Linked DNA regions of Oreochromis niloticus. The protein of the gene in region 1 purifies or fractionates together with the protein of each later gene. This does not show direct contact. Links are inferred from orthologs where the notes say so. Each region holds a gene or a part of one and is shown in the gene's direction. Other genes may lie near its edges. The genes, in order: stk3, map1b, vapal and slmapa.

Region 1 (8,272 bases):
ACTTGTATGTGATACCCTTACCAGGGCTAAGTCACAGATGCTACGAGAGGGTTTCTGTCAGGCTCTGTGACACCCATCTGCTGTTTTTGGCGACTCTACACTGAGTCACAGAGCTGGAAAAGCTACTCCAAGAAATCAAATGAGGAAAATAAACAAGAAATAACTTTCTGGTAGCAAAATTACTGTAATTTTCTAAAACTATACATAGTTTAATTAATTAATCACGAAATTAGCAGTTAGATGAAGCTCCTCTAACTATGCTATAGTATCGTTGCTATAATCAGATTTGTTTATCCCAGGATCACATGCTGTGTAAGAGAAAAGAAGCCGCTCATGTCACCCCCCACCTGCTTCAGCACACCCCTCAATGGCCTGGGTGTACTTCTCCAATGCGTCTCCAAACTGTCCGTGTTTGAAGAGATGGTTCCCTTCATTCTTGAGCCGGGCCAGGTGAGGAGGCAGGGCCCCGGCGGGAGCATCCAGGTAACTTGTGTCCACTGCAGGGCTGTCCTCCTTCTTCTCTTGCCCACCAGCAGGGCTGTTTTCTCTCTGAGTGCCATTGACCGTTCCCTTCTCTGGAGCCATGTGAGGCTTTCCCCCGCTGCTTCCACCCCGGCTCCTCGTCCCACTCCCTGCTGTGGCCTGATCCGCGCTCGCTGCCCCTCCTCCGCCGCCCGGAGGTTTCTCCTGCGCGTTCCCCATAGCTGCACTCCCTCTGCAGTGTGCTCAAACTCTGCCTCTCCCTCTCTCAGAGCCGCAGCTACATCTGAGCCTGGATGGGGATTTCTGCTGGACACACCCCCGACATGAGGCGTCAGATGTGATGTCAGCGAGGGGGAGGGGGGAGTGCCACAGCGATGCAGTGCTGCAGTAGGACAGCTCTGAAGGGAGAGCCTCAGTTTAGACTTCAGAGCAGAGGAAGCCTGGACCAGACACACACATGCGAGACACTTTAATGCTTTAATTCATCAAATTTTAAGAAAAAAAATATTATAATTTCGATTATACGTGATTTACGCTGTATTATTGGAGGAGAAGTAACTGACAGGCAACATTTTGACACAGTGGAAAGATATAGATGATTAATTATTCTTAGGATAATTGGAGTGAGCTGCAAATCTGATCAACAGCAAACAAACAGATTATTAATCATGTAAAATTACATTTTGTAGATGGAAAATCCAGTCCAGTAATGAAAACAATCATTGAATCCAGTCCTGTTTGTCACCTAAAGGGTAGTTCAGCAAAGTAATTACTTTGTTGATGAGAACACGTTTTTCATAACTCTCTCAGCAGCATCTTAGCTGGAAGCAGCTCTCTGTTCAGCACCGGGAAATTTCATTAGGATTATTTTCTATTGGTCGACATTTTGGCATGTAATTGCATCAAATCACAGGTTCACACAAATGTTTTACACATAATTTTAGTTTTTTATTATTATCTATTATTTGTTGTGTCTTACTTGTGTAATGTGTACAAAAAACAAAGACACTGCTGGAGTCTCCTCCAGCTGCCCAGCAGCAAGTAAGTCAGAAGAATCTGTCACAGATTTTCAACATTTGTACAAATTAAACCAGTGAGACGTAGACGTGCTGGTATGAGGATTTTTGCACCTTTGAGTAGAGAGAGTGCAACAGTTTGAAATCTTTGTGCTAAGCCAAACTAAAAAGTTGCCATGCAGATATTAAGGGACTAAATGCACTAAAAAAAACTGATTTAGATTTAAATCAACTTAAAGCTAAACTTGGGGAGACCGTGTAATTTAAAGAAGTTAAAGCTATCATATTGCTGTTTTAGATCAAAAATACACTCAATGGACACTTAAGTACACCTTGCTTGTACTGGGTTGGTCCCCCTTTTGCAATCAGAGTTGCCTTAACTCTTTAATTCTTCTTCTATTGTGCAATTTTGGTGAGCCAGTATGTTTCCTGCTCTTTGTGGACAGGAAACTGAGGGACCCAATGCGGTCTTTTGTTTACATTGTGCATTCAGATACGCTCTTCCGAATACCTTGCTTGTAAGCAGTTGTCATTTGAGTTACTGTTGCCTTTTTCTTTCTTTCTTTTTTTAAATCACCTCAAAACACTCTGTCCAATCCTCCCTGGCATCAATGATGCAATTTCCCCAAAAGAACTGCCGCTCACTGGATATTTTCTCTTTTTGGGAGATGGCTGTGGGAAAATCCTCGTAGATCAGCCAGTCTGGTACCAACAATTATCCCACAGTCAAAGTCATTAAAATCACCTTTGGGGGTGAGGGGAAGAAAACATCGAAGTGTCATTTAATCTTTATTACTATGAAAAAGGCCCCAAACCAGTTTGCATTACACAAAATCAGGTTACTTCCCCCTGCTGCATTTTATTATTCTGAAAGGCAGACTTCATTTCAGGGGTCGAAAAGCTGCAAACATCTCATAGCAACAGACCAATTACACGTGACTACATGAATATAGAAAAGTCTACAAGAGCTGAAACACATATTTTCCTGTCGTCATGGAGATGCTACCAATTAAATCGGCTCATCAGTTAGAAAAACTGGAAAAACAGTCACGACCAATTAAAATACTTATTTTTTAATAAACCAAAACAAACTTTCATACATCTTTGACAAGCAAATGTATTGTTTAGACGGAGAATAAAATGAGTAGTTCACAAATCTGAAGCCAGGTCTATTTATTTACATGATCCCACACTACAAACAGTAAACAGAGTCAAAACTGCTCCTCTCCTCTTCTTCATCGGGCATCGAATACAACCACTGAAATCAGAGAGTCAAGGAAATCCACAGCAAACGTAGCAACCAAAAAATATCAATCAAAAACAAAATATCTGAACACTCTTTAGCATAAAGATTCATGTCTGAAATTAACTGTCAGTTGGTCATTTTTAATGTTTTCACAAGTTGTCTTCATGCACACAATGTCAAAAGGATACATCTCTTTGTTCTCTTCTTGTACATGATCCTGTAGCCACACTCTCTGCATCTGATCGGATCGCGGGCTTTGATTTCGTTCTCGGTGTGACATTCTGCAAGTGATGAGAGAAATCATGGTGTTATGTGTTCAAGTGCAGTTTGAGCAGAGCAGAGCAGCGGGCAGCACATAGTTTTTCTGCTGATGTTAATGACAGAGAAGGTTTGGACCTCTGCAGCTACTGAGTCAGCAGAGTGTTGGTAACTTTTTTTCACTTAGCGCACGCCTCTGAATTCAAAGAGGTGTGGCCCAATATTTTAGTCCATAATGTGTAAGGTGTATTCATTTCAGTTCATTCAGATTGTTACTGAGTTTTTACACTTGCCACAAAACTTGTTAGTACTAAAATCAGGGTGGTTCCTTTTCCAGATGCAAGATGACCAACATTACGTAATCATGGTGAAATATGTGTTATTGGTTCCAAAATAGTAACAATGTATCAGACTGTGAAGGAGGTTTAACATTTCCCACTGTAAACATTTAGTGAGCCTAATGTGTATGTTATGTCATCCAGAGGTCTCCACCAAGGTGGATTAAGTAGTAAAAACACTATTCAAACACAAGAACATCATGTAACTCTCAGTTAGTACTTGTGTTTTGCACCTGGAAGCACAAATACCCACAAGGTAAAAAAAAAAAAAAAAAAAAAATCATACATACATACAGAACAATAAAATTATCTTATTCCAAGCTAACTATGATTAAAACAGAGATTAGAAAAGGGGTAGGGGTCATGAGGCTATAAAGGCACCTGAGATGTAATTTCAGTGAATGGAAATCCCACACATGCCAGGTATCACAGCTTTGAATGCACAGACCGGTTTACAATAGGCAGACCTTGTGCTCCAAGTGTTATTTAGTACTAATACTGAACTCATATTTATAATTATAGACGGTAGTTATGCGAATTTTCTATAATGTACATTTTCATGTGTTAGGCAAAACAGGACATGATATAGTGTGATAGATGGTTTTCTCTAAAAACTAGTGCTGTAATACCTGAAAAAATACACTCTCAGTTATCTCTGAAGCATTAATTACGGATTAATCCTTAATTTATTAATGTCGGACAGGCTAGTTTTAGAATCTAAATTTAGCTGTAGTTTATTATTTGTTAACTTATTATGAGAGAATTGTTACTACGACGGAACACAATATGAACAATATTTAAGGTCTCTGCGGTGTAATGTAAAAAAAAAAAACATCCAGAGGAGAAGCAGCCGTGATGGCAGTGATGAAAGGTTTGCATTAGAGCAGGTAAGATCGTACTGTTTGCATTACCCGCGGGTGTATTATTAAAGTAAAAGTTGTAATATACCTCCACATATGTAGATCATAGGCTGCTGCTTGGGCGGCTGTAGATCTTTCTGCGTATCCATTTCTGATTCTTAACAAAAAAATAGAGACAGAGATATAACTGTTAACAACATGCTAACAGAAACAGCATGGTATTGCCCGAAACAGACTAAAACAACCCATATGGTATTTAGAGCAAACAACAAATATCTTTAAAGTATCTAAAAACGCTGCATAAACCTAACAGATATGAAGTACACAGGATGGAAAGACAACAACAAGGTTTCTCACCGTTTAAACACGATAGCTGCTAGCTGTTTACCTCTCTTTTCATACTCCACAAGGCTCCTGCCTGCACATGCGTAGAACAGTCGTTCACCTCACAGCAAAGTCGCTTGTGATTGGTCGGACGATGTCTTTGAATGAGACCAGGAAAGCATAGTTGTATTTTGTGGACAGCTCTATTATCAGTAACATTTTATTCACAAGTCTCAGTTGTTTAATAGATACAAATTATTCGCTGTTTCTAAGGAGAGTATTTTTTAGCCGTTTTGTTTGTACTCCGCTCCAGCAGGGGGCGCTGCGGTGAGGCCGTAACACCGTCATCCGACGAGCCCTCAGCTGGCGCTGCTTTAGTTTTTGACAACAACGACTCAGTCGACAATGTTCTCGCCCTGACTGCTGGTCCCAAAAGTGCCACGAGTCCCTATTAGTCTGTTTTCTTTTTAGTTTTGAAGTCGTACATCATGGAGACGTCTGCGCCCAAAAGGTTTGTGTTATTTTAACTGCGCTAAAAATGCTATTATTATCGAGCTAGCCGAACAGCTAACGTAGGCGGTGGATGTCGCCGAGCTCGCTGATGCTAAGCTAACTTAGCGTTGACAGTCTTCTCTCAAACTTTCAGTTCTGTTCACGGATGTACAGATCGTTCCTCACACAGAGACGCTCTTTCTTGAGCCCTCAATTGAGTTTCTAATAGATTTGGCTAATGATGTGGTCGTTTTGTGTTCCCAAGTTTCTGTAAGAGTGTTTTGTTCAGTGGTTTGATTTGCACTTTAAATATCATTCAGTCGCATGTTAACTGAATCAGCCTCTAGTTTCCCGAGTGTCCTCCAAAAAATGAATTGCATTGTTTCTGTGTATCTTTTTATGTCTAATATTGTTGAAAGTATTTGTAAACAGGCTTTAGTTATTAGGATTTATGAAGGGGTTTTTATATATATGTGTATATATATATAATAAAGACGTGATCTCTCTTTATGGGTCTGCGTTATTGTTATTGACTTTCTTAGCCACTTAAAATGTCCTTGTAAAAGTTAAAGGTCCTCCATGTTTTGGCTTGCCTGTTTGCGCAATCTCTATTGGAAAAAAGACGTTTTGAATGTCAATAACACTTTTTATCCAAATAAATAAAAGATATATAAAAGTCACTTTGCCAAAAACTAAATGCAGCTTCTACTGCTTGCTCAAAGTGACTTGAAATCATTCATAAGAGAGAGGTATGTTTGATAGGTCATAGGCATTCATTTAGAACTGTTTAAATACCGGACACGGTATTTTTTGGCACAACTCCTGAAGACAAACCAGTATTACACGTTACTGATTACTTAGTTGGTTTCTGTGCTGTGGTGGTTCACGAGTTCACAGGCTCAAAAAAAAGACAACGCAAGTTAATTTTACCGAAGAGCTTTTTAACCACAAGGCGACAGATCTGAAGTCTTTGTATGATTGCTGTACTATTTTTAAACTATGAGATCACACATGTTCATCTTGAGATGAGAAATATTTATTTATTCCATATATGAGCACCCCTTTTATTACAACACTATAAAGGATGATGAAATAATAATAATAATAAAGTAATATTATTAAACATTTAGGTTGACAGAATTTGGTAGGAAAGATTTTTAGAATAGTAAAATATTTTAAAAAATGAATAATAACAAAATCAAAAGAAATTAGAACTGCTTTGGAAATCATTGACAAAAATAAAATTGCGTAATATAAAGACAAAATAAATATAGAGTAAAAATTGCTTAAAAGTTTACTATAACATTAATAAATATACAATGAAATTAAAGAATGAGTCTCCAAAAATAAATATTTGAACAAAATAAGTGATGATGATAATAATAATCATCATCATCATCATAAATATAATAATAGATATTGAAGTAAATTACCAAAAACATATAATTATAAAACACTATGTGAAATTCAGACTGAATAAGTTTTTTATTTTGGATTCAAGGAAAAACAGCAATATTTTCAGCTCTTCTCACAGTCAGTGAAAGGCTTCTCTGAAAGACTTTGAGGACACAATACTTAAACGTTTCTGTTCTGCTTAGTGGAAATTAACAGGAACAGCAGGATGTGAGGGCCTTTCCAGCTTCATATAGCACAAGCTTTTCTAAGAGGTAGTATTGAAATACCCTTATAATGGGGAAAAAAACACACAATCTGTTTGTGTCTTTGTCAGAGCTCATGTAGGATCATTTTTAAATGATTGAATCTTTTGATTCATTGTGTTTGATTTATTCACTAGAGCCAGACTGAGGAACCTTATTGAAGCTTGCGTCACTAAGTGTTGCTCAGGGAGAAACGACCTCCTTTAGTCTTGTATTGCACGTGATAATATTTTTGATCAAGTCAGAAAATAGTGAACAGTGCATGTTGGGTTGTGCTTTCACTTTCACAATAACATTTTTTGTCGATCACATTGAACTTAACTGGCTAAAATGACATTCCTGCTCTGAGTAAAATAATGACTTATTCCTGTTGTTTGGCTGCGGTGCTGATTTTTATCTGTGAAGAAGTATTACCTCATATTGTGGTGTTTGAAAGCACCGATGCACAAACCTAAAAATATCTTTAAATTACAACAAACGGAAATTATAACAAGTTGCAGTCCCAGTGTGTTTGACATTTATGTCCAGACTAAAAATCACCCACAGCCGTTCATTTATTTACAAATGCTGAAACAATGCCGTGTCTCCTGTTTTGTAATGTTTAGATTTGCCTTTTCCACTTATCATTGCTTTCACTTTTATATTCCTGTCTTATTCACTTTTTACAGTAAGCTGAAAAAGCTGAGTGAAGATAGTTTGACGAAACAGCCAGAGGAAGTGTTTGATGTTCTCGAGAAACTCGGTGAAGGGTAAGAAGTCTTAACTTCCATTTTTACAGCTGACCATTGCGTAATGAATCTCTTTTTAAGTGCTGTCAGTTGTAATAAAGCACTGCGGCCGTACATGTGACTTTAAGCTTTGTGTGTGTTTCTAGTTCCTATGGCAGCGTGTTTAAAGCCATTCATAAGGAGTCCGGCCAGGTGGTGGCCATCAAGCAGGTGCCTGTGGAGTCCGATCTGCAGGAAATCATCAAGGAGATCTCCATCATGCAGCAGTGTGACAGGTGGGACAGCAGTATGTCTTTAACCATACCGCCAGTTTTCCCCTTAAAAGCAGAGTTTTTCCTCAATATGAAAAATGTGGCGTCCAGTAAACAGTTTTGAGAGAAAATCATTGTTTATTTGCAGGCTCAGAATACATTTTTTGTTTATCAGCTGCCCCAAATAACAGGGAAGTGCACAGTTGTTCTGTTTAATTAGATAAGAGCCTCTTAGTGTTAACTGTACGCAGACCAGTTGCACTTAGCTTCCTCTCAAAGGTCCATTCTGAGCCAGGAAAACCCTCAAAAGACATTTTACAGAGATAATAATGGAGGAAGTATGACATCATCATCATAGCCTATGTAGCTCTCTCGTGTCTGGATCCATGAGATTTTTTTTCTCACTTCTGCTCTGTATCTTCTCCTTTGATAACCACTCCATGTTGCATTTCCTCCCCAGCCCCTATGTGGTGAAATACTATGGCAGCTACTTCAAGAACACAGACCTGTGGATTGTGATGGAGTACTGCGGCGCTGGCTCTGTCTCTGACATCATCAGACTGCGCAACAAGACGGTGGGTGTCTACGCTGAGCCGCAGCGACGTGTGTAACTGTGCT
Region 2 (8,165 bases), on another chromosome or scaffold:
TTGTAAGCTAACAAAGTAGAGAACATAGTAAACACTTTAATGAAAACAAAACAACATAATAATTATGATCGTACCGGCCTGGCTGTATTGCTGTCAACCTGTAATACTGATACCCAACAGACTCTATATGTCACTTCAGAGACAGACAAACTGACAAAAGGCGGCGTGCCAAATAAAGGACATTTAGCCATATTTTCTGTGTTTCAAGCTTTACATTTATAATTAAGGTACCACTGATAGAGGGAAATCTTCTGTGTTTCATCACCAAATATAGGGCTTTTACAGTGTTTTAACAGCAGCTTTGAAAGATTTAATGGTGACTTTTTTCAGTCTATTTTATTTATTTTGTATTTGAATATGAACAATCTGAACTTTGAATTTAATTCAGTCCGAACAGATTTTGCTTCCTGTTCATTTCTTTGTGGAACAGAGCTAGAAATATTTCCTTCTGGCACACATTTTTTTTTCAATGTGTATTTTTAAGTTGTTGCTTTTTTAAACATATACCCAATTTAGTCTGTTAGTGTGTCTTATTAGACTACTGTTCTTGCCATTTACTAGGACCAAAAGAAAACAGGAAAATGGCATGACCGCAGCTGATAACCTTTCATTTACTGTGTTTCATGAAGGTCAGCTAAGTCATTTAGTGCCTCAGAATGAAATTAATACAGTACGTCTCGATTGCTGGTAGAAGAGTGAGATATAAGAACTTCTCTGGCAGAAACCACTGGCCATATAATAGAAGTATAAATGCAGCTTGATTTTGAGTTTCAGTGCTACCTGGTTTCATAGTAAAGAGATATTGTGCATCATCAGCATAGAAAATAGTTACTAAATATGTGCCCCAGTAATATATTTAAAGTGGAAAATAAAGAGAAACAAAAATGGACTTTTGGTTGACACAAAAGCTGGCAGAGTGAGATGGAAAAAATTTCCTTAATAGAATTAAGTGATCAAACTGTATCAAATGCAAAGTAGAAGAAAAAATATATGAAGCACTCCTACAGCGCAAACCTCCACCAAGATAGCTCATTCACTGGGCAGTATTTACTTTCAAGGGAAAGGTACTGTATTTTGTATATATTCATGTTGTTTTCTGTGTTCTTTTTAAACAAATTTTAGAAGAGTGTTCTCCTCTTTGTTGTGATCACTATTGTGGTTGATTTGTGCTGTTTGATATGTTTGATTGTGTTGTTTTATGTTTATCTGTTTTATATTATTGTGAAGCACTTTGTGGTTTTTATCCTGTGAAGAGTGCTATATAAAGTTAAATTATATGTGTTACTCAAAAAGTAATTATTATAAATATCACACAGAAGATTTTTCTTTAAAGTAATTTAGTGTGTTACTTTATTACTTGAAAGATAAGGTAATTTATAATACTGCTCATTACATTACTTTCATGTTACTCTATAAAATAGCTGAAACACACTGTCTACTAATTGCCATTTAACAATGTAAACCCGGGGCTACAGTCCCACAGACCAACACAAATCCCTATCCGAATGAAAACACACATATGATCTTTTTCATAGTATTTATGTATGACCAGAAAGCTGAAAGTGCAAAGAAAGAATGAAAATCAGCACAAAGAGAGTTTAAAGCGATGGCCACAGTGATTCTGCTTTAGAAACATGAAAAGGTAGAAACAGAGGCTGCAGCCTGGCTGTGCCTCAATTTGTCACCCGTTGAAGTTCAGGGTCTGGCTGCTGGGCTGGGGTCAGCATTCTCTCAGCTTGCACTAGGTTCTTAGCTAGCTTAGCATTAGTATGCTGTCTGACTAGCTAAGCAGGTGCTCCATAAATACCTCGGAGTAAACAGAGATAATAAACTGGACTGGATAAAAAAAAAACATAGTCTATAGGAAGGTGCAGAGTCGTCTGCATTTCTGAGGTAACTGAGGTCTTTTTACATCTATCGGACAATGTTCAGGATTTTCTGAGTCTGTTGTGGCCAGTGGTATCGTCTATGTTGTTGCATGCTGGGGCAGCAGGCTGAGGGTCGCAGATGCCAATAGACTCAATAAACTGATCCACAAGGCCAGTAATGTTGTAGGGATGGAGCTGGACTCCCTCAAGGTGGTGTCAGAGAGGCGGATGTTGTCCAAGATAAGGACAATGCTGGACAACACCTCCCACCCACTCCGTGACATGCTGGCCGGTCACAGGAGCACGTTCAGTGAGACACTGAGATTACACAACTGCACCACTGAACAACAGGGAAATCTTTCCTGCCTGTGGCTCTCTCCCTGTAGAACTCCTCCATCTAATGCACAGCACACAGTGAAATAGTTACACCCTTTTGCACATGCTCTACAATGAAAATAACAAAGTTTTACAGTTTAGAGTAAAATGTCAGTCATACATATCTATTTTGCAATATTATGGATATTTATAATTAAGCTATTTTTATATGTTAGAGTAAATTAAATTTAGTAACTTTGCAATGTACTTGATTAATCCCAAAGGAAATTATGTGGTTAGAGTGGCTCCAAGACAATAAGAACAGTAACAGACTGAAATCAATTAAATAATACAACAGTTCAAATTTTATTTGTATATGTGATGAATAAAATTGTGTTATTTAATTGATTTCAGTCTGTTACTGTTCTTATTGTCTTGGAGCCACTGTAACCACATAATTTCCTTTGGGATTAATAAAGTATTCTGATTAAGCAGGTGACTTGTTTTAAAAAGCTATAAAATTATGTAACATTTAACAGACCAAATTTCAAAACCAGATAAGTAACAATATGAAAGAAACATGCAGTATAAATGGCTGGAAGCTGGTAAGTTTGATAAAACCTACACCACCCTCTGTTGTCTGATAGCCACTGTATGCATCTTTTGTTCCTTTCCAGAATACATTTCTTTGGTTTCCAGTGAATTCAACAGCTTATTTCACTTATTTTTTTTAAGTAACATCCAACAAAATGGGGCTTTTGTAAGACTCATGTGAGTACTTGGGTTTTAAATCATTCAAATCTTTCAATGTTCATTTTTACATTTTTTAATGGCTTGTACATACACACACACACACACACACACACACACACACACACACACACACACACACACACACACACACACACCAATCATACATTCCTGTCTATCAAATTGCCATTGGCTCTCTATTCATCACCATCCCCCTCAATCCACACACACACACACACACACACACACACACACACACATCCATTTCGTCCTTGTCTGTATCTGGGAGACTTCTGGGGGCACCGTGTTGTATTTTTAATGGCATCCTTCTTTCCCAGCTGTGTATGATGAATGTTTGATATGACCTCCAATGGCATTTGGAGAATAGAACCAAACCCAACCCACCACGCCACAAAGCCTCTGAAATATTCACATCCAGGAGCTGCTGAGTGGATTCCTGCCCCTGGTAGCATTTTTAAGTCAATAACACACCTGCAGTGGCCCCATTAGGCTTGCCAGAGGGAAATCCAGAATGAAAGTCAGGATATGTGCGCACATGTATATGTGTATCTGTCTGACTCGTTTTTTGGTCTACAGCTCCTTTTCTGTCTCATTTTTTCCTTGCAATGCTCAAATGTAGTTTTAAAGTTGTTTGCGTTCACAGAGGCCAAAGTTTAGCAAGCAGGATTATTCTCCTGGGGAAACAGAGCATCTTTTATGTTCATATTAAAAGACAGAACTGTTTATTATTCACTGTCAACTGCATTTAATGTCTAGACACACCACACACACACACACACACACACACACTTGCAAAGAAAATATGACAGACTGGAATCCTGTGATCTCAACTCTTTTCATTTGCTTTCTGTTAGTAGTTTTCTGACTTAACCCACCCTAATATCTGATACTGCTTTCACATGAAGACTTGTGTTTTGTGAGATGTAAGATTCCAAGAATCAAAGAATTTTCCTCGAGTGACTCCCTTGAAACTTTTCATTAGACTCTATGGGAGATCAAAGAGGGACCGTGAACAGATGTATAAAGGATATTTGTAGGATTAGATGCCAAACACTTTTTTTTTTTGTTTGAAGTGATTTGATGTGTCTGGACATATAATACTTAGCCCTGCAACAGACTGCCGACCTGTTGGTGTGTACTACACCTCTCACCCAGTGACAGTCTCCCCAGCAATCATAAAGTGAAGTGGTTATCAAAATGCATGGATGGATGGATGGGAGGATAGAAGGATAGCTACCATGGCTTCAGTCAATCTCTCAGGGGTTTTCTGCCCTGATCTTTGAGTACAGCCCTTGCAATTTGCATTCATTCTCTTTGAATATCATAGTTTTTGCATGTAAAATATATAATAATTAAATAAAAAATAATTAAATGACTAAAAAAATGAAATCTCGGTTTAAAGTAAATAAAAAGTCTGTTTAAAAACTGAATCTCAAAAAGCACATCAGAATGGTCTATAAAGATTTTCACTGCGCTAACAGAACTACAACTCGTTTACTACAACCTAACATCAGAAACTGAACTCAGAGGGGTGAAACATCAGTGCTCTAAGTATTTTTTAACAGGAATAACAAGTAGTGAGGAGTCCAGCACCGATGGAAACAATGAAAAGCATAAAATCTCAGTGACTTCCGGATGCGTTTGATTCGTTGCGGATGACATCAGCTGTGGAGTGAGTATGCGAAAAAAAACTCCGGCGCCCTCGTCTCTCCCCGGTTACCGAATGTGACACTGTGTCTGCTGGTATAAAAAGCAAGGGCCACTCCTATCAAGGTTGCACTTGCATGTCTGGAGACCACTCCAAAGCTCTGCAGCGAATAAAGGGAGGAGGCTGGGATCCGCGAACGAGAGACAGCGACAGAGCGGGGGCGTAAAAAAGAGAAGATAGACAGCAGGAGAGGATGGCAACCCTGGTAGAATCTGCAGACATGGAGACTTTAGGCGGCCAGAGCAACACCGGGGCGTCGCTGACATCCTCGAGCCCCTCGCAGCACTTTAATGACAGCAAATTCTACCTGCTGGTTGTTATCGGAGAGATCGTAACGGAGGAGCATCTGAAGTGTGCCATTGCGGACATAGAGAAAGGTAAGATGGGGCTTTGTGAAAGGGGGTGTAGGCCAGAGAGCTCCGCTTGACGTGTTCAAAACAACTGGAACGGAGACGGACAGACTGGAAGTTTGGCAGCATAAAGTCCCATAATCTGTGCGGGTTTTTTTTTAAAAAAATTTAATTTTTTATTTTTTTTGGAGCTGTAGTTATTTGCAGTGCTTTGCTTTGTGCACGGTGGTGAGGAATTACGCGTGTCAACGAGTAATGAACACAATCTGAGTGTTATTTGTTGGGCAGCTGTTTGAAGTAGACTGCGGTGGGGCTGTCTGTCAGCCCCTCCCAGTAACATCACTGTGAGCTAGAGGAAAATAATCACTACATCTTCGCCCTCGGGTATTTTACCCACCATCAACCGCGTTCAGGGGCAGTTCTGTATCATTTCTTTTCTGTCACATAATATCAGTGGGTTCAGTTGTTGCCAGCCACAACACACGTGGACCTGGTCCTGTTATGAAGCTGACGAGCAATGATTCAGCATCCAGCTCGGATTGTGCGTCAGTGCAGTGAAGCGAATCGCGTCTCTGAGGGTCTCTCGCAGCACCTTGCTTTTGTGTCACAGTTCACGGCCTGAAGGAGGAAACGAGTTTTCTCTCGGTTTGTGTCGTGAAGTTGACAGTTTGCGTTTCGAGACTGCTACAGTACGCGTCCTTGAATTGCAATCAACGAATTTCCCCCTTCATCCCCGTGGCAATATTTCTCCATCACTACCCTCCTGCATCCAGCTTTCTCTCTCATCCCACACACCGGCTTGTGGGCGTGGCTCGGTCCGCACTGCGGTCCCTACGGAAAGCCAGGAGGACCCATCTTCAAAGTGAAGCGGGGCGTTTTTAGAAAGGCTACAGCTGCGGTAGAGGCCTGCCTCACTGGCCATAGTGCACTGTTTGTAAGGAGGGGTACAATGGCGCAGTATCTGCGTGGGCGTAAAATTAAGATGGGTTCATATTATCTATACCCTGCTCACTTCTAGATTTTCCATGCACTATCAGAGTAAAAGCACAGAGTAGGTGTGGCTCTTTGTTAAACGTTAAATCTGCTGATGCTGTATAGAGATGTACCAAACAAAAAATGATTAAATAATTTTGTTTTAATTAAAAAAAATAAGAGTTTACTTTTGACATGATTCTGTTGGGGCCGCAATCATCTCTCTCTCTCTCTCTCTCTCTGTCTCTGTGTGTGTGTGTGTGTGTGTGTGTGTGTGTGTATTGTCAAGTTTACACTTGACCTTGGGTGGGAAAAAAATTCAATACATACATTTATGCTGTCCCCTTCATAGTGTCTTTGAATTTAAAAAAAATCTTATTTAATGGTGTTTCTCATTTTAACTTATGCTCTCATTTATTTTTTAAAGTTTAGGCCCTGTTGCTAAAATAAGTGTTTTCAGCCCATCGTCTGTTGTTCACCTCAGAGTAACACTGATTCACTGCTGCTATCAAATAACTTCACGGAAGCCTTCATTAGGCCTTGGCTTTGCAAAATTATAGAGAGGATGACACCGCAATGAGTCAGCACAACAGAGGTCGTCCCTGTGTCTGGCACCGTGGCCAAACAGAAACAGGGATATAGATATTTCCTATTATAGATTTCATTCCTCTTGCCAAATTAAAAGTCAATCCTTGTTCGTGCCAAGATTTTCCTGTAAATTTTAGGAAGAGAATTCACGAGGGAAGGTGACTTTTCAGTTTTGTTTGTGCTTGTGTGCTTGTGTTGCAGGGATCCGCTCGTGGGACGCCAACTTAATTGACTGCAACCTGGACCAGGAACTCAAGCTGTTTGTGTCCAGACACTCGGCTCGCTTCTCTGCAGATGTCAGAGGTAAACTGGAAATTTAAGCCACAACATTTCACACCGATTAATGTCTTGAGATTTTTCTAACAGCTTCCATTGTGTCGTAAACAGAAACCAAAGACATACGCTTTTGCAGTCGTGTGAGAAATAATACGCTTAATGTATTAAAAGTAAAAACAATCACTATATAGAAGACCCCCTTTTTATTTTAATTTATTTCAATCACGATCTACCCCTGTCATAAAATATGTTGTGAAGCACAGTACATGAGTATTTACAGTTTCATAGCTGCATTTCTCAGCAGTGTCCATCATTACATCTAAGTCAGCTATATCTTCCTCGTGGTATACTAAACACGTAAGCTTTATTACCTACCACAGGATAGAACCTGTCAGCATTTTCTTACAAGGCACTTTTACCTTTGTGTCATTTGCAAAGTGAATGAGTCTGTATGAAGATGAAACACATTCAGTGTGGCAGGACATGTGGTCTATCAGTAGGCAACATGGCCTTGACAGTCCCCAGCAGTTAAAGCTTCTGCTCCACATTGAACACGACCAGCTTCATATGTGGTTAGATGTTTAATAGATTGATCGAGCTGATAAATGTGGCTGCAAACTAAATCAGCAGGTCGATTCTAATGCATTAATATCCCTGTATCAAATCTCAGAAATGAAATGCAGTCAGTTGAGAGGCAGGATTCATCTGAAATGACATTTAACAGCACTCCAGCTTCGCACTCCCTTTCATCCCGTGTTCCCATCCTCCACTCTTGCCATTTCCTCCAGTGTGCTGTTGCCTTGCAACTAGATGCACAGTTGATTTGGGAGTAATTAGCAATGTAGAATCCCTAGTGGCGGTGTCTGTCCATGAAAATAAAGAAGGGAGGGGAACGGGGAGGACTTGGGGAGCAAGAGGGTGAGGAGAAGGGCTTTTAAAGAAAGACAATGACACAGGCGGGTGGGGTGGTGAGAGGAGAGGAAATAATGGAGTAAGAACAGGCTGAAGAGAGATTGGGGTGATAAATAAGCAAGGTCACACAGAGAGAAATGCAGGAGGATGAAGAGAGAGCTTTGAGAGTCAATGTCTTGGCAGGCAAAAAATCAATAATGTTATTTTCTCATATTCTCTTTCTTTCCTTTTGGCAACTCTTTTTTTTATCTTTTTAAATTTTTGATTTCAGCTTGATATGAACTGCACAATTTGACGGGCTTGTAGGGTTTTATGTAAAATGTCATGATTCTTTTTAATTCATAGATATATATTTTAAACTTTTGAATCATCATATTGTTAAAAACATTTTTTAAAAAGATTTAC
Region 3 (7,814 bases), on another chromosome or scaffold:
TTTTAACATGCATGTTTATTTCGTTTATTCCTAGCAGTTTCAGATCTGCTGAAGTCATGAAGCAGAAAGCCTTCAGTTTGTCCCCCTCAGGTGGTGTTCTGGCTGAGCTACTGTGTGGTGTGATACATATGGAAGCTCATTCTAAATTTCAACTCATTTTATACTCTGACTTTAAAATTGAGCACAAATTAAAAACAAGCGGAGCTGACGTGTTTTATAAAGACAGGAATTTGATAGTTGTTTTCAAGACTCTCCTTCTCTGTAGACTATCATAGCACTGTGGCTCTTAAACACATTGAAGTTCTTAATATCAATTTTTAGCAAGTCTAACTCCTCCACCCATGAAGCATTTGTGCACATGTGCCCCATTTAATTAAGAGGTCGTTAAGAACAAACTTAGACGAGCATTTATCTCTGTAGCTCAAATGCGACGGCTTTACATTCCTCACGTGTTTTTCACGCACATTTGCTTTAGAAAGGTTTTAACTGTAGTGCTGCAGTGGGAACAGCTTGAATCGCAATTACAGCATGACACCCCCAGCTGAAACACTGTGACCAATGCTAGAACTGTTTACATAGTGATTTGTTAAAGATGTTTTCTACATGCTGAAGTGTATTGAGATTTCATTGCAGGGAACGACTGTATACAGCTGCCAATCGTGTTTTTGTTTTTCCGTGCATTTTACCTGAAAAAGGGGTCACATTTGTATTGTTGATAATAGACAAGAACTGCATGTATTTGACTTTAAACATGTGTACAGCTGTTATATTGCATATACTAACCAAACTCTAAAGGAACTGTGGGAGCGCAGCCCTAACTGTTTATCATGTTCATCATGCTCACAGCACCACTTTGCATATTAACACAGTATCAGCTGGGAGTTGCTTTAATAGTAAAAATGTTAACTATTGCAATTCTCCTTAACTTCAGCATACAGTAGAAATTATTTGAAGGAACATGAAAATTACAATACTGACCAATTAGTTTTGCATTGTCATAGCTTAAAGATGTGTTTACATTTGTAGTTGAGTTAGTTATTTACATTATAACGTGTACAGTTTTTATCAACAGGTATGATGGGATAATAGAATCAAATTTTGACTTTGTAATGCCATAAATGTAATGATATTTACCGCCCTATATATGGGAAATTATACCAGCCTTCATTCAGAAATCTTCTAGTCTGTGTGGCCTTGCTTATCTGAAAAACATACGGTGCATACCTTTAGGTATATGACGCAGTTTTTTAGCTCAGAGGTTAATTTGTAGCAAATGTGGGGCATGGGACTACAATCTTCCACTAAACTGTACCACACAGTAATTGGCTTAAGATGAAAACTGAAATGAACTTAAGAGCTTCTTAGCGCCAGATGTAAACAATGTTATATCAGCTGGAAGAGTTATGATTGAAAACAACCTAAATACAGTGCAGAATGGATTTCTCAGTTCACGTTGTTCAGACCCCCTTTGTGAGTTGAGATTCCCAGCAATTGTTGCTACACAAGTGCCTTTTGTATGTTTTTCTAAACAAAATGTATGACATGGCTAAAATGTGCATACTGTTAGAATTAATTACTCGTGTCTGAACAAATATATACATAACACTGCCATTCCTTTACAGTCACACTCATACTGTATGCTGTGGTCATGCTTCTCTGTTTACTCTGTAGACCAGATTAACATCTGTATATTAATCAATGTAATAAAGAAGTAAACATTCAATTTCTCTTCAAATTTTACTCTTTCCAATAATGAAATACTGAAGTGTCATCAAAGATCTCAAACACTGTCAAAGGATTACAAACTAAGCTGATGTCTGTACAGGTTCTCAGTCATCCAGTAATCTAGAGAGGTTGAAAACAAAGAGGCAACTGAACTGATGATATTTCATCTATCAATCATCCAGGAGCCTTCTTCAGTTGTAAAAGTAAAAGGGGGTGAATCCCGCTCATTGTCTAAGAAACTCTGGAGAATTTTAGCCAACAAGCTTGACATCCCAGAATACTTCAGACCCAGCGACACACTTGACAAAAGCTGGTTCATCCCAAAGACAAAACTCCCAAACACAAGCTAAGTATCATTATGTTCTCACTGGAGAAAACAAACAGCTATTCCATAAACGCATGGCACAGTGTAGAAGAGCCACCTCGACAGGACAAGACTGAGCTGCACATCTGCATCTAAAGGATAAAGGCCACTCTTTGGAGGATGCCAGAGTTCAAACTTTAGACTGAGAAGACAGACGGTTTGAAAGAGGAGTAAAACAGGCCATCTGTGTCCACTGATGTGAATGATCATCATTGAACAGTGGCTTATGACACCAACGAGGTCTCGTAGTACTTTCACTTTTAACCCCCCTTAAGGTGTTGGTAATGACCCACAGCTGTCCTTTTTAGAACTGAACAAGCCTCTTTTTTCAAGATCTCTAGACTTTTAAGTTTTGATAATAAGTAAATGAGTGAGGAAGATGCAGTCACTGAAAGAGGGTTGTATCATGACATTAAGATCTTGACATTGTGAAAACAGTCTATGCAGCCTCATTTAAACCACCTCATACTGGAGTTATATGGAAATGACTGAACAATATACTGGTAAGGAAGGTATATTATGGAAGAACAAATGTCTGGCTTTTGGCTAAAGAAACGATATCACTATGAAACAACCTTTTATCTTTAACAGCAAGAAATGGTCATTATTTCTGAACATGCACAAGCGTGACACTCTGAACTGCTTTAAACACCTCAAACCATATGTAGACTGTGTCCTATTCAGTACAGCTTACTGAGGAGAAGTCCTCAATTCCCATAAAAACGATGGATCGCAGTTGTCAATGGTCTCTAAGATAGCAAGCCAGATATTAATAGTTCACAATGAGTACACACACTGCACAAAATCCCTGGATTCCTCGCAAATAGCATCTTAAATTCCCCCTTTTAGCATTCCCCTTTTCATCTACGCTCACATGATGGCCCAAAATGTGTTGAGTTTTGTCTCTCGAATAAAAAGTGTTTTTTTTCTCTTTTAGAAAGAGTTCTCCTAGGCCAGTTGGTGTTTTTCTGCACTGACTTCAGTATTAATTAAAAAAGAAACAGCTGAAGGAAGATTTTCAAACTACAGTAGTTAGGTTAGTTGGTCAGTGACAGTGACTGGATTTTAAAAAATTATCTTAGAGCAGCAAAGTTCTGAGAAGTAAAGATGGGTAGAAGGTCACCAGTCTGCGTTCAAGCAGCACTGCATCAAAAAAAAGTCATGATTCTGTCATGGAAATCACTGAGTGGGCTCAGGAACACTTCCAGAAATCACTGTCTGGGAATTAATGCTTGTGTAACTGGGAGCTTGTGTAACACCTTTTTCCAGGTGGAAAAGCAATCATCACTGCTGAAAGGTATATACACTTTTTAGAGCAACATAAAGCTCCCATCCAGATGACGTCCTCTTTCAGGAAAAGCTTTGCATATTTCAGACTATGCTAATCTGATTACTGCCTTAGTAGGAGAAGAGTCCAGGTGCTGACCTGGCCTGCCTGTATATCAGACTTTTCACCCATGGAAAGCATTATGAGCATAATGAAATGAAAAGTAAAAACAAAGAAGAAGACCTGGAATTTTTGAGCAGCTAGAGTCGTATATCAGACAACAACCAGGCGACATTCCTCTCCCTAAAGTCCACCAACTGGTCTCCCCAGTTCCCAGAGGGATACAACTGTTGTTAAAAATAGTGGTTAAAATCATGGGGTTATAAGATCTCCAAATCTAAAATAGCCTAATGTTTTAGGAACTGAGGTTGTGCAGGGATTGACTGATATCCCGAATCATGAAACTTTGCACTGATGGAAAAAAATCACTTCTGTGAAAATAAGATACTACTAAGGGACTACCGGTTTAGTAATCTGTGGTTTAGTTTGAATGTACCCATTGTTTACGTCGTAAACAAGCAGGTTTAAAGGCTGACCAGTTTTTGGCACAACACCGGTACTGTTACCAGGGCAACGTGTGACCCGTGCTACACAGCAACCTCAACATGTCCTTTAAATCACAAACAACACTTACATTTACGTTACATGTACGTTCACTAATACTTCTAACAGGTTTAACTAGACTATTGCAGAGTGAATTTAATGTGCATGTACAGTATATTGCAGACACGCGATTATGAGACTTCCTTGATTAAAATTCTCGATTAAATCAATAAAGCACAATTTAACTTGGTACCGGTCACGTCGGGATTTTATAAGATTATTTTATAACATGTTTTTCCTTCCCTGTACGTCTATCTCAGTGTCCACACATTATAACTCGTTTACTGTACCATAATCGCATCAGTTGCCAGACCACGAGTGCGCGCAACAGAGGGCTGTGCACTCGCGCGTTCAAGTATTTGTACCCACATGCTCGCTGAGCTCAGTCAGCGTTTGACTCAGTAGAGGCAGAAGGGATCCAGGATTTCCACTTGTCAGTTAACTCCACGATACCGAAATCAAGTGCATCCCTTCAGCCAACATGTCAAAGTTGGATCAGATCCTTATCCTCGACCCTCCGTCTGACCTCAGATTTAAAGGTATGTGAATGAACTATTATTTATTTATTTATTTAGTTGTTGCCGTGTAAAATGTCCAGCGAGTAGTAGTAGTAGTAGTAGTGGTGGTGAAGCAATGATTTCACACTCCCTCAAGCGAATTTCGTGCTAGCAAGCTAGCTAGCATTCACCGCCATTTTAAGTTAGCCAGGGAGCCGGACGGGCCGCTGCAGCCCGGCGCTATAGTGACGTGGATAGCCGGGCAGGCGTGCGCCCAGGTGGCCTGCTATTCAGTACCAGCTTACTGACAGTACCAGGCAAAGAGCTGGAAGGATGTGGCTGTCAGTGACTGCTTAAAAAAAGGAGAGTTAAAGTCTACACGTTAAGAAGCATGTTTGTGTATGTCTTCACATTTAATATCAGCTACTATGCTGTTGCTAGTTGTGTTAGCAGGAGTAAACTGTTGTTTCTTGGGGCTTAGGCTATTCCCTGGAAAGAAATTAATTTCAGAATGAAAAATCCGGCGTTCATCTTGATACACCTGTGGCAGGAACTTGTGAAGCCAGTAAAGTGGCTGACAGTTGGAATGACAAACTTGGTTAGCTAACGTGAACTGTAACAGCATGTATAGTTTATTTATTTTTTTTAATAGCAACACCGGGCTAACATTAGTTCAGTTGATCTAAACCTATTAGCTAAATGTTGGCTAATTTTAAGCGTGTGTTCGCATCCTGGACAAAACAGGACGGCACATTCATGGGAAAGCAGGGTGCTTCACGTATTCGGTTGGCACTGATTGCTTTTCCTGGTAGTGATAACGTCCAGTGATGTGTCAGTTAACCGTTGGCTAATGATAGCATTGGCTAGCCTGCTAATGCCAAAGTTGATGTGTAGTTGTATAACCGTATTGTTTTGCGTCTGACAGACCTGAAGAGACCAAAAATCACATTTTTTAAAAGTCATAGATAGAACATAACTTTTGGTCATTTGTGAGTCCAACTGTTGCTCTTGTGGTCAAGTGAATGAAGTGGCAGTAAACGGCGCTGATTTCAATGAAGCTAGCCCTACCAGGCCATGGGTGACACAACAATCTCCACAGTTGGACTATTTATCCTCATCATTATTCATTTTGACCCAGAAATCCGCACAGCACTTCTCGTATTTGTCCCAGTTACCAAGCTCTGTGTCTGCTGGAGGCATTTTTGCGAACTAGACAGTTATTTCTCTTTCTGTTGAATGTACCACTGTCCTGGACGAGGTTATAAGAGGACACTGGTGTTGGGACAAGGTGTGAATTGATACTGGTTGTAGCCTGACAGGATCGTTAGGAAGGACACAAGCTCACATTCCAGACCCACTGTGTCTTTGGGTGGGGTGTAATAATTTGAATGTTTTGGTGATGAGGTGTCCAGGGTGAAACTAAAATTATTATTATTTTGCCTGTATTATTTTGCCTGACGGTGACACAAGTAGAATAAAGGCAACCCCCCCCCAAAAAAACCCTCATGTTAAAACTGAAACTCATAAAATTTGTGTACATTGATTAAAATCCGGGAATGTTTTTATCATGCAAGGTGCAACAGAAAGTGTGATGGTGAATGGAGCCTTTTCCAGCAGGCTGACATTGTAATTGGACAGGGATAAGGATGTAAATCAGTAAAAACTTGCTCTGGCTTAAGTTTAAAGACATCTGGAAAAGGGTAGTAACCATTTGATTAAACTCACATTTGTTATGTCATAATAACAGCATCAATCAACAGGTTAATGGTGCTATTATGATAAAATTCTTCAATCATATTGTTGGAAAGCCACCAATAGTGTTATTTGTCTCAGACAGGTTGTTTTTTTGGGAGCAACAAGGTAAACCAGAATACATAAATGAAATTTTCTCCAGCTGAACGTTAAAATTTCATGGGTATTTAGCCTGATGGTAGACACATGGTTCGTCATAATCTGATCATGGACCTCTACTTTTTTTTACCCGATTAAGAAATTCTACTCTAATTTGACTTATTCCTGTTACTGATCAGTCACACGGTTTACATTTTCCCTCATCAGATTAAACTTTTGGCCTTTTATATTCTGGATTGGATGCAAAGCTAAATTGCATTAGTATGATGCTGTTCATACTGATCATTGTTTACTGATCATCATTGATTCATTTTATTCTTTAGCACCGAGGCCAAAATGTCTAATCCACTGCACATGTAAGAAAATCCCAATTCGTGGGTCATAAACCCCATTCTAACAATTTGATATAAAATGTAATTTATAATGAAAATATGTTTGTCCTTGCAGTAGAACCTGCAAGCATATTGTATGTTGTATATCAGGGTTTTGGTTGTATCAAAATAGTCCTTTTGTAGGGACTGCATATGTTTATGACTCTGTATTACTTAACAAAAGAATTCAGGTATAGTGGCCCATTTGCTTTCATAAAAACCAGAGTTTTGTCATATTTTTAACCGGTCATGTTTAAAGACTCAAGTCTGAATACGGGTTAAGCCCTTTGGCCACTTAACCTGTTATTGAACCAGCATCATATTAAATCTTACATTGGGGGGGAAAAACAACTAATCCCAAGTACTAAATCCCCAAAGAATCCATCGCTTAACTTTGGGAGCTGTGTGTGACCCCCCCCTTTGTTTTTTTTTTTTTTTTTTTTACATTTTTGTATGGCCCACATTTAAGTGGCTTCAGTTTTTCATGTCAAGAAGCAATCTGAGGAGAAGGAAGATGACCACAACTTCTTTACTGTCACAGAGACAGAGCTAAATCGGTCTGCATGTATCGAAGAGCTGGACTGTTTTAGAGCCTCTGCTGGGACTCCTCCAGCAAGCTAGAGGGGGCAGCCCTCCTTTCCTTGGTTGGTATTTTTAGAGCAGGACTTGCCTGAGGGACCCTAACTCAGCATACATGCAACAAGATGAGAGAGGTGCTGCTTGAGCAAAGGTAGCATCTCAGTGTTGGGCAGTGGATGCAAGCTACAGTATGTGGGTGGGATATCTGATGCACACAACTGTTTTCCAGTTTTAGGCTTTGGTGTAGTAGTGATCAGTGTGTAAAACGCATGGAAGGTAGAAATATTTTGGACTCGGTTCATTTCCAGCCTATAGAAGCAGTTACTCATCTGTGCTAGTTTTCTGTTTAGGTCTATAAAATAAAAAAGTCATGGTTTTTACCTTGTCTTTCCAGCATCATAGTGCTGAAGCTATAATAGACATTGTTTCTGGTTCTGATACTACTACAGGTAGGCTCTGTTTTGAACAACCTGGTATTGTTCTGTCAGGAAGCAAGT
Region 4 (7,668 bases), on another chromosome or scaffold:
CAAAAACAACAACAGCAATGAAAATAATAAAAAATAAAATAAAAACACTAAAATATATGCTTAAATCAATACAGTTGCAAATAAATTACTGTCAAAAAGAATTAAAAAAAAAAAACCTCTAATCAAAAAGAGCTTAATCAACCTGTACTTTATCTTTTGAAAGAATGGGTACAAATAAGTACTTTTCACAATTAAGGAACATGTATGTACCTTTCAGACGCTAAAAAAGGTACAGACAGTTACCCCGAGGTCCAATATTTGTCCTTAGACTGTATTAATGTCATTTTTGTACCTTGGGGCACAGTAATGTACCCCTTCCGTACCCCTATTTCTGACTGTGTAAAGTAATGCAAATTTAAACCAATTCATACTAAATGACTTATATATTGTGTTTGGTTTTAAATATTCCTGCATTTTATATCTTGAGCCACAGAAAACCGTATTTGATCTGTCACTAAATAAATGTAAATGTACATTGCTTTTTTACATACTTTATTGTCATATGTTTAGCTTTTTAACACAATTATTCTTTTTTCGTATTTTATTATGATTTCGGGGTTTTTTTTTCATAAATAAAGTATATGTTATCCCATGAAAAAAACAAAACGAAACAAAACAAAAAAACTGTGCATACTAAAGAGCTAAGTTATCAACTAAACAGAAAATAAATCAATTAAAAAATCCAAAGTCCAAGTGAGACCTTTTTGGGGATGTTCAAATATCACATGGTACAAGCATGTAAGTTATAATGAATGTAATAGTTTCTTATGTTTTTATACATTCTTATGTTTTTGTATACAGTTTCAAATGTAAAATATTCACATTGATAACCTGACATTAGTGATAATACATTCAATATCCAAAACACTTTCCATCGATAGATAATGAAATGCAATGAAAGAGATCTGGGAGCACACAAACCCCAACATTTATCAGATCACTAAAGAGTGTTGTAATTAAACTAAGATGTAATGGAGTTCAGCTTCTAAGGCTTTGTATCCCACAAACAGCCTCTGTTAAATGGACATAGTGATGTCAAACTGGGCTAAGAAGCTAAACACAGTAAGATGCTGTTAAATCTCATATAATAGTCAGACTGTTAGCACAGTGACAGCTGGTGCCCTGCTCTCTGTGCAGGAGGGCTGGGCAATGCAGCAGGGACCACGATGGGGTCTATCCCACAACCAAAACCTGCACCAGGAACACTTTACCGGGAAACTCCAAAACTTTAAAATGAAAACCTATAACAAGGGTATCAAATACAAGGCAGAGGAGCCAGAATTGGGCCGCTACAGTCCCTGATCTGGCCCACTGGATGGCTTTGGAAAATGTGAAGTAAGGCATACATTTTGGACTGCGCTGTATTTTAATAAATTTAACTTTTTGTCTTGCTGATAAACCTCTCCCATGGCCATTCATATTGCACCAAAGTATTTGCTGTATTTGTGCAATCTCTGTTAGTTTATAGTATATGTATAGTCTTTGTTACTTAATTATAATCCAAATCCAATTTGGGATCTGGACTTTATTATACTATCTGTAATTAAGTAACAGACAAAATTAAATAACAGAAAATGTCCTGTTTTTTTTACTATCAGCTATAGAAATTATGTTCTTTCCGTAAAGAACAGAACCTTTCTGTTTTACAGCACAGTCTGGGGAATGATCTACCCACAGTTTAAAATGACTTTAATATCACTGTCCTATAAGGTCTGATGTTTACATCGCAGGAGTCTGTCAGTCACTCAGTCCTTATCTCGTCCTTCACTCTGGTATATTTGGAACAGCCTAATGATCAGTCTGATCCCAAAGTGAATCCTGTTTCAATCCTCTGCCCTCTTAGACCTACTGAGATCTCAAGCAACAGTACAAGGTCTTATTCCCAGAAACATGCCCTTTTCTTGTGATGAACTAATTTACTGGCTTACATAGCTCAACATATGTTTTTCTTGCTGGGATTTGTTGTGAAGATTGATTCCCCGTGCATCTTCTTACAGTTTAGTAATATGAACGAGGCCAAACTAAACAGCCATGCAAGAATTTAAATATTCTGATCTCATCAAACCTACTCAGTCTTGGACATTTAGAGGAAAAGAGGCTGAAATGCTTTACATCTTCAACCTCTTTAGGCCCTTGCTCTTCTCCATACACTTTGGAAGTAGGTGAATGTGGAATGCACTGAATATTTCTCACTTTTGAAAAATTAGGGTCAGAGTGTAAGGAGTTGATAACTCTGTCTGACACCAGGCTGCTTTTCGGGTTTCTTGTTTTGAGGAAGTCATTTGCTTTAATGTGCATGTGGCCCTTTAAATGGTTCAGATATGTTTCTGATCATGCTGGAAGGTTTCTGCATGTTTCGTTACAGCTCTGCTGTATTATTGAGGCTGATTGAAAACAAGGACTAGCAACAATGGCTTGAGGTTAGTTAGGAAAGCAACAACTCAATAAACTCTGAGAAAAAGTTTAAATACTGCAAATAAGTTCCTTCATTTTAAAGGAATATTAAAAAAATGCCTGTGACCTCTTGACTAACTTAATATGAATGAGAACAGCACCAAACCTGTCTGTCTCTTTCAAGAAAAGTGTTTTTTCCCCCCAAAACTGATGAAACAACAACATTCCCAGTCTTAAAAGTTAGTGTTCAAACTGTTCAATTAAATTTTTAGCTCTTCTTTTCTCAGTAAAGTGTGTAGACTGAAGCCTGGTCACAGTTCAGCTGCTAGAAGCAACAATTATATTTTTTATACTTCCTTATAACCAACAAAAAAAATTGATGTGGAAAATTCCAAACACTTATGGAGAGTAATTATGAATACTTTAGTCACATGCCCTATAAATTATGGCTGAATCTAAGAAGAAACAGCAAAGCTTTGCTTTGTTTTTATCTGCTTTACAGTCTCATCCACCATCGATTTAGTCTCAGCTGTCTGTTCACCAGAGCACCACAGGGACATTTCTGGGGCCAGAAGCAGAATTTGATCTCCTGTAAAACCACCCCCAACCTGCTGTCCTACCCCTAAACTGCATTGCTAGGATAACGCCCATCTGATGCAAACTGAAAAATACTGCTCTGATTAATAAACTGCAGGTGATGAGAATCAAAAAGGTACTTGAAAAGAAACCAGATGATTTTTTTTAAGCAAAGTAGATAAAAATCTGTTCTGTTTTTCCTTTCTAGGTTATACCATTTATTAGGACTTCCATATTTCTTAAGGAATTAATATATTCAGGCCTGTGTAACGGACAATGAAAAACAACAAAAAACAAGAAGAAAAGTTCTGAAAAAGAGACTGAACAATAATCCAGTTTCCATATTTAACACAAAGCAGTCCATGTTCTTGAAATAAAAAAATCCACTCCAGTAAAACAGGGAAACCACAGCAAACAATAATAAAACAAAACAAAACAACAAAACAGAGAAATTGTGTGGTTTACAAAAAGCAGCTTTTCTCAAAGATCCATATTCTAAACAAAATTCAGCCCTTTTGCCTTTCAGGATACCGTTTCATGGAAGATTTGACATCATTTGTTTTATCTTGTGTTTAAGGTTTGGTTTATGAGGGTTTTTTTCACCAAAACAATGCTTCTAGCTTTTATGTTAGCTTATATATTTGTGTTCTCCTGTATATAAACTAAGTAGAAATAGATTTGGGTCTATAGTAGAATTTCTTATGAAATAATTTCCTCACACGTCCCTTTGAGCTCTGAGGGAGTTAGCTACATTTGTATTTGTGTGTTAGTCTGAGGTATTTTCACTGTCTGGGTGGTTTCTAGTCCTCCAATCTTTGCGCAATACGTTTGGATTTTCATGTGAACTCTTGTAAAGATGATGTAATCAGATTATAGGATTTTTGTATAAAGTAATTTTCTTTATCATCATTATTTGAAGAAGTGTTTGTACGTGAAATATGTTGATGTGCTTTAATACCAACTTTGTAACACCTTACCCGTATGTACTTTTTTTTTACATTTAAAAAAGTGCTTATAATTTTATCGTCAGTGTTAATCACGTGGTTATTATTTTTTTTAATAATTCATAATTCTGTATGTATCTATGTATTTATCTATTAAGCTCATTACTTTTTCCGAGTCTGACTTAGTGAGCTCAGCAGTGGGTGGTGCTCATGTCACCTGGTCAGTGAATGCATCCCTCCGGCTGTCTATCGTTCAGTGAACGCACCACCGCTGTCTGCTCTCTAGTTACAGTATGGCGGCTGGGACTTGCGGAGGAGGACAACTTCTTCTAGATTCCTTCCACAAAACTGTTGGAAGGCGACGGCATTAATATAAAACTTATAGCGGCAACCACGAGGTACACTGCAACAGACGACAGCGGCATAACTTGTGTTTCTTACTGGGGCTTTCCCCAGAAAATAATCGGACTGGTGTGTGATGCGTGAGGACCCGCAGTCAAGAAACTCCCCTGATTTTTCCGCGTCGGTTTCTGCTCTGACTGTCAGTTAGCCGGCTAGCTGCTAGGTAGCTCCCTTCAATGCTAACGCTCGCCTGCAGAGCTCTGTGTTAGCAAAAAGAAGCGCTAGCGTGTTGCTTTTATTTACTCCAGGTGACAGGGATGGTATATCGTATCCATTTGGTAAGCGGACTGGTTGAAAAAGATGGGGAGAAAAAATTTGTGGACCTGGACGATAACTTTGTCAGTACTCATTAGCCTAGCCTAGCTTAGCCTAGCTTTCTGGTACAACGCCAGAAGAGAGTTAGCGCTTCGCCTGTCCACCAGCGAGTTAGCCAATTAGCATTTCAGTTGCACAAGACGACCAGATAATCCCCCCCTGTTCATCCCGGTGGATGGTTTTGAAACGTCTCCGCTGACTAATTCAGACGAAGAGTGGGCACTGAGCTGCTTTAGTTTTATAACTCAGGGGTGTTTTGGCGTTCAGGCTCGCTAGGTGTTCTCTGGTAGAGGGAGTGGTGAAGGTAGGGAGATAGGAAGGTAGCTAAGGTTCCCTGCATCAGGGCAACAAGGTCACTCAGATTATGACGAGCCATACATGTCAACTACACTTATAGATGACACTTTAGTAAACGACAGACGCGTGTGTGTTTGTGTGTATAGGGTGATGAACGCTGGGGTGTGTGCCTGCTGTTAGCTTGCTGCAAGAGAAGACAACACAGCTCAGAAGCGCGCAATAATTGGACCTACTGCTCTTGATAGGCGTTAAACAGACAGTTTAGTCAGCACAGAAGGAGTTTGATGGACGTGAGGGGCTGTCAGTGCTATACTCACTCATGTATGTCTTGACACATGGCAGCTTGGTCTGTACATAGTGCCTGCTGTCACATATAAGCGTCGTTATGTAGCTTCGGTGGGCAGTCAGTGAGGGGAATGTCCTGTCTTTTTTTTTATACCTGTTGGTTTGTTTTTTATTTCTCACACATGAGAGAGGACCATGTTTACTAGTTAGTGCCTAGAAGATTAGAGGACTAACGTTTTAGCCTACAGATAGGCCGCAGATATTGTAGATTATTACTATTTTTTTGGGAGGAGGGACTGCACCAGAAAAACCTGCCACTCTGGATCAAGAAAACTTGCCCCTCGTCTCTGGTTGGAGTAATACTCTCAAGCCAAAATCAATGCCTTCAGCGCTGGCAATATTCGCCTGCCGACCCAACTCGCACCCATTCCAGGAGCGGCATGTGTACCTGGATGAGCCCGTCAAGATCGGCAGGTCGGTGGCTCGGTGCCGGCCAGCCCAGAACAACGCCACCTTCGACTGCAAGGTGCTGTCCAGGAATCACGCTCTGGTGTGGTTTGACCACAAGACTGGCAAGGTAAGCGGCAACAGCACTGAAAATGACCTCCTATTGCTTTACTTTGGTGTTTATGTGGGCCTACAGTAGATGGATACTTTACTTCATGTCTTCTTGTGGGTTGGCCATATAAAGAGAACCACCAGTGAGAAATATCACCTCATTGGTTTGCATCTTTAAATAGACAGGAATAAAAGGCCTATAAAGAGGAATTTTGCAATGTTAGCTGCTCATCTTGTTTACTTATATTTTCCATGGATGATCCCAATTAGCTCACAACCTTTCTTTTACTGTGTAAATAAGGTTATTACCTAAGAGCTTAAAATATAGCAGGAGATCCAACTTATTCCAAACTGAATCATGGTAACCCTTACATCAACTTGGATTAATTTAATATGCCTTATAATTGTGACTTGAAGATTTATAAATAATGTTTACCTTCATGGCACAAGGGAGCAGATTTTAATACAGCTATCATTATTAATACTAATAATGATTGCTCTGCTGTGGATTTAACAGGCTGCTGTTCAAAGTTTGAAATGTATCAGCAGGTTGTGGGATGAAATGAAGAAGCAATGTTAACAACGTTAACACTGGCATAATCTGTGTCACTCTTGTCAGTTATGCTGATGGATTTGTTTGTGTCACTATGAACTGTGGGGAAGCATTGTCTCTTTAGTAATAAAGAAAGTAGTGAAGCACTTTTTTTTTTTTTTAAGTGTTTAGAGCAGGGGTGGGCAATTGATTTTTCCCAAGGTGGCCACGTGAGAAACTGTGACACTTGTGGAGGGCCACACCAATAAGCTGAACTCAGTTCTGCTCAGTTTTCTCTTCTTTTTCTCACGTGAGCCCTCGAGAAAATGTATTTCCCCCCACAGTTTAGAGAGTTCAACCAGCACTTCTTATTGCTTCCTTGTCATTTCTGTTAGGAACCTCCATAAGAACAGCTGATGCTGTGACTGTAGTCAGGGCTTTTTCTGGCTCATAATAAACTTTTAAGGGAGTGGGGCACTAAGCAGGATTACTGAGTGTGTAGTTGAGGTAGGGAGGCTTACTTAACAAATGTGTGCATTTTCCTGATATTGCCCAGCTTGCCTAGCAAATTAAATATGGCTTTAAAACCACTTAATTGATAACTCTTTGTTCTGTGGACTGATGCACCTGAAAGATTTTGGAGAAAATCTTCACACGCTTACACATGTTTTTAAATTTATTTAAGTAGTTGACTTAATCTGCTATCTAAAATTACATAATTGGAAAGGATCAGGATCTACAGATGCACCAGTTGCAATTTTCTTCAATTTTAACTGATAGCATATACCCACTCTGCTTCAATGCAAAGTTTTACTTTCATAATAAAATAAATTATTAAACTTAAGAATTTTCCCGCAAACTGCAGTACATTACAAGATCTTCTCTCATTGGAAAACTGAAAATAAAGTGCTCCGTCACTGGAAAGAGTTACAAATAATTGAATGAAAATAAGGTGCTGTACACCTACCTTTACCTGTCATATTTTATGTAGGCAAACAATGTCAAGTTCAACAGATTTATATAACAAAACAAATGTCAGGTACTTGCATCATTTCCTAGTATTTTTATAACTTCACCAGATAACAGGGCATTGACCCTTCTCTCTTTTCCCACTCATCTCCATAATTTGTCTCGTAATTGCTTTGATCTTTTGCTCACGCTGAGGTTGCTGGCTTGTGTCTGGCTCTAAGTTGTAGCTTTAACCACTTTTCCTTTGTTAGGTTCTTTGTCTCAGTGGGATTGTTGTTATGAACTTTTTCACTCTTGTGTTTCACTTTGGCAAACTGTGTCTTCACTTGCAGTGAGGAGGTTAGATGGTTTTGACATAGTGTGTGGTTGTGCATGTGCACGTGCATATGATGATTT

Evidence for each region.
Region 2: the proteins of stk3 (region 1) and map1b purify together in Homo sapiens (affinity purification with mass spectrometry; 4 studies listed by BioGRID and IntAct, with this or other methods). This does not show direct contact. The link is inferred for Oreochromis niloticus from reciprocal best matches to the Homo sapiens genes STK3 and MAP1B.
Region 3: the proteins of stk3 (region 1) and vapal purify together in Homo sapiens (affinity purification with mass spectrometry; 4 studies listed by BioGRID and IntAct, counting the BioPlex papers as one, with this or other methods). This does not show direct contact. The link is inferred for Oreochromis niloticus from reciprocal best matches to the Homo sapiens genes STK3 and VAPA.
Region 4: the proteins of stk3 (region 1) and slmapa purify together in Homo sapiens (affinity purification with western blotting; 3 studies listed by BioGRID and IntAct, with this or other methods). This does not show direct contact. The link is inferred for Oreochromis niloticus from reciprocal best matches to the Homo sapiens genes STK3 and SLMAP.

What each region holds. Positions count from the first base shown.
Region 1 is NC_031985.2:19,957,368-19,965,639, forward strand, and holds the start of stk3 (serine/threonine-protein kinase 3), read left to right. Parts: upstream 1-4,874; 5' UTR 4,875-5,013; coding exon 5,014-5,036; intron 5,037-7,343; coding exon 7,344-7,424; intron 7,425-7,549; coding exon 7,550-7,678; intron 7,679-8,114; coding exon 8,115-8,229; intron 8,230-8,272. Other genes in the region: spag1a (sperm-associated antigen 1A), read right to left, coding at 348-702; polr2k (DNA-directed RNA polymerases I, II, and III subunit RPABC4), read right to left, coding at 2,735-2,757, 2,934-3,026, 4,290-4,350. UniProt on the Homo sapiens protein: Stress-activated, pro-apoptotic kinase which, following caspase-cleavage, enters the nucleus and induces chromatin condensation followed by internucleosomal DNA fragmentation.
Region 2 is NC_031972.2:15,701,251-15,709,415, forward strand, and holds the start of map1b (microtubule-associated protein 1B), read left to right. Parts: upstream 1-4,598; 5' UTR 4,599-4,855; coding exon 4,856-5,039; intron 5,040-6,773; coding exon 6,774-6,875; intron 6,876-8,165. UniProt on the Homo sapiens protein: Facilitates tyrosination of alpha-tubulin in neuronal microtubules. Phosphorylated MAP1B is required for proper microtubule dynamics and plays a role in the cytoskeletal changes that accompany neuronal differentiation and neurite extension.
Region 3 is NC_031982.2:24,672,208-24,680,021, reverse strand, and holds the start of vapal (VAMP (vesicle-associated membrane protein)-associated protein A, like), read left to right. Parts: upstream 1-4,401; 5' UTR 4,402-4,500; coding exon 4,501-4,558; intron 4,559-7,814. UniProt on the Homo sapiens protein: Endoplasmic reticulum (ER)-anchored protein that mediates the formation of contact sites between the ER and endosomes via interaction with FFAT motif-containing proteins such as STARD3 or WDR44.
Region 4 is NC_031970.2:15,724,256-15,731,923, reverse strand, and holds the start of slmapa (sarcolemma associated protein a), read left to right. Parts: upstream 1-4,153; 5' UTR 4,154-5,592; coding exon 5,593-5,790; intron 5,791-7,668. UniProt on the Homo sapiens protein: Associates with the striatin-interacting phosphatase and kinase (STRIPAK) core complex, forming the extended (SIKE1:SLMAP)STRIPAK complex.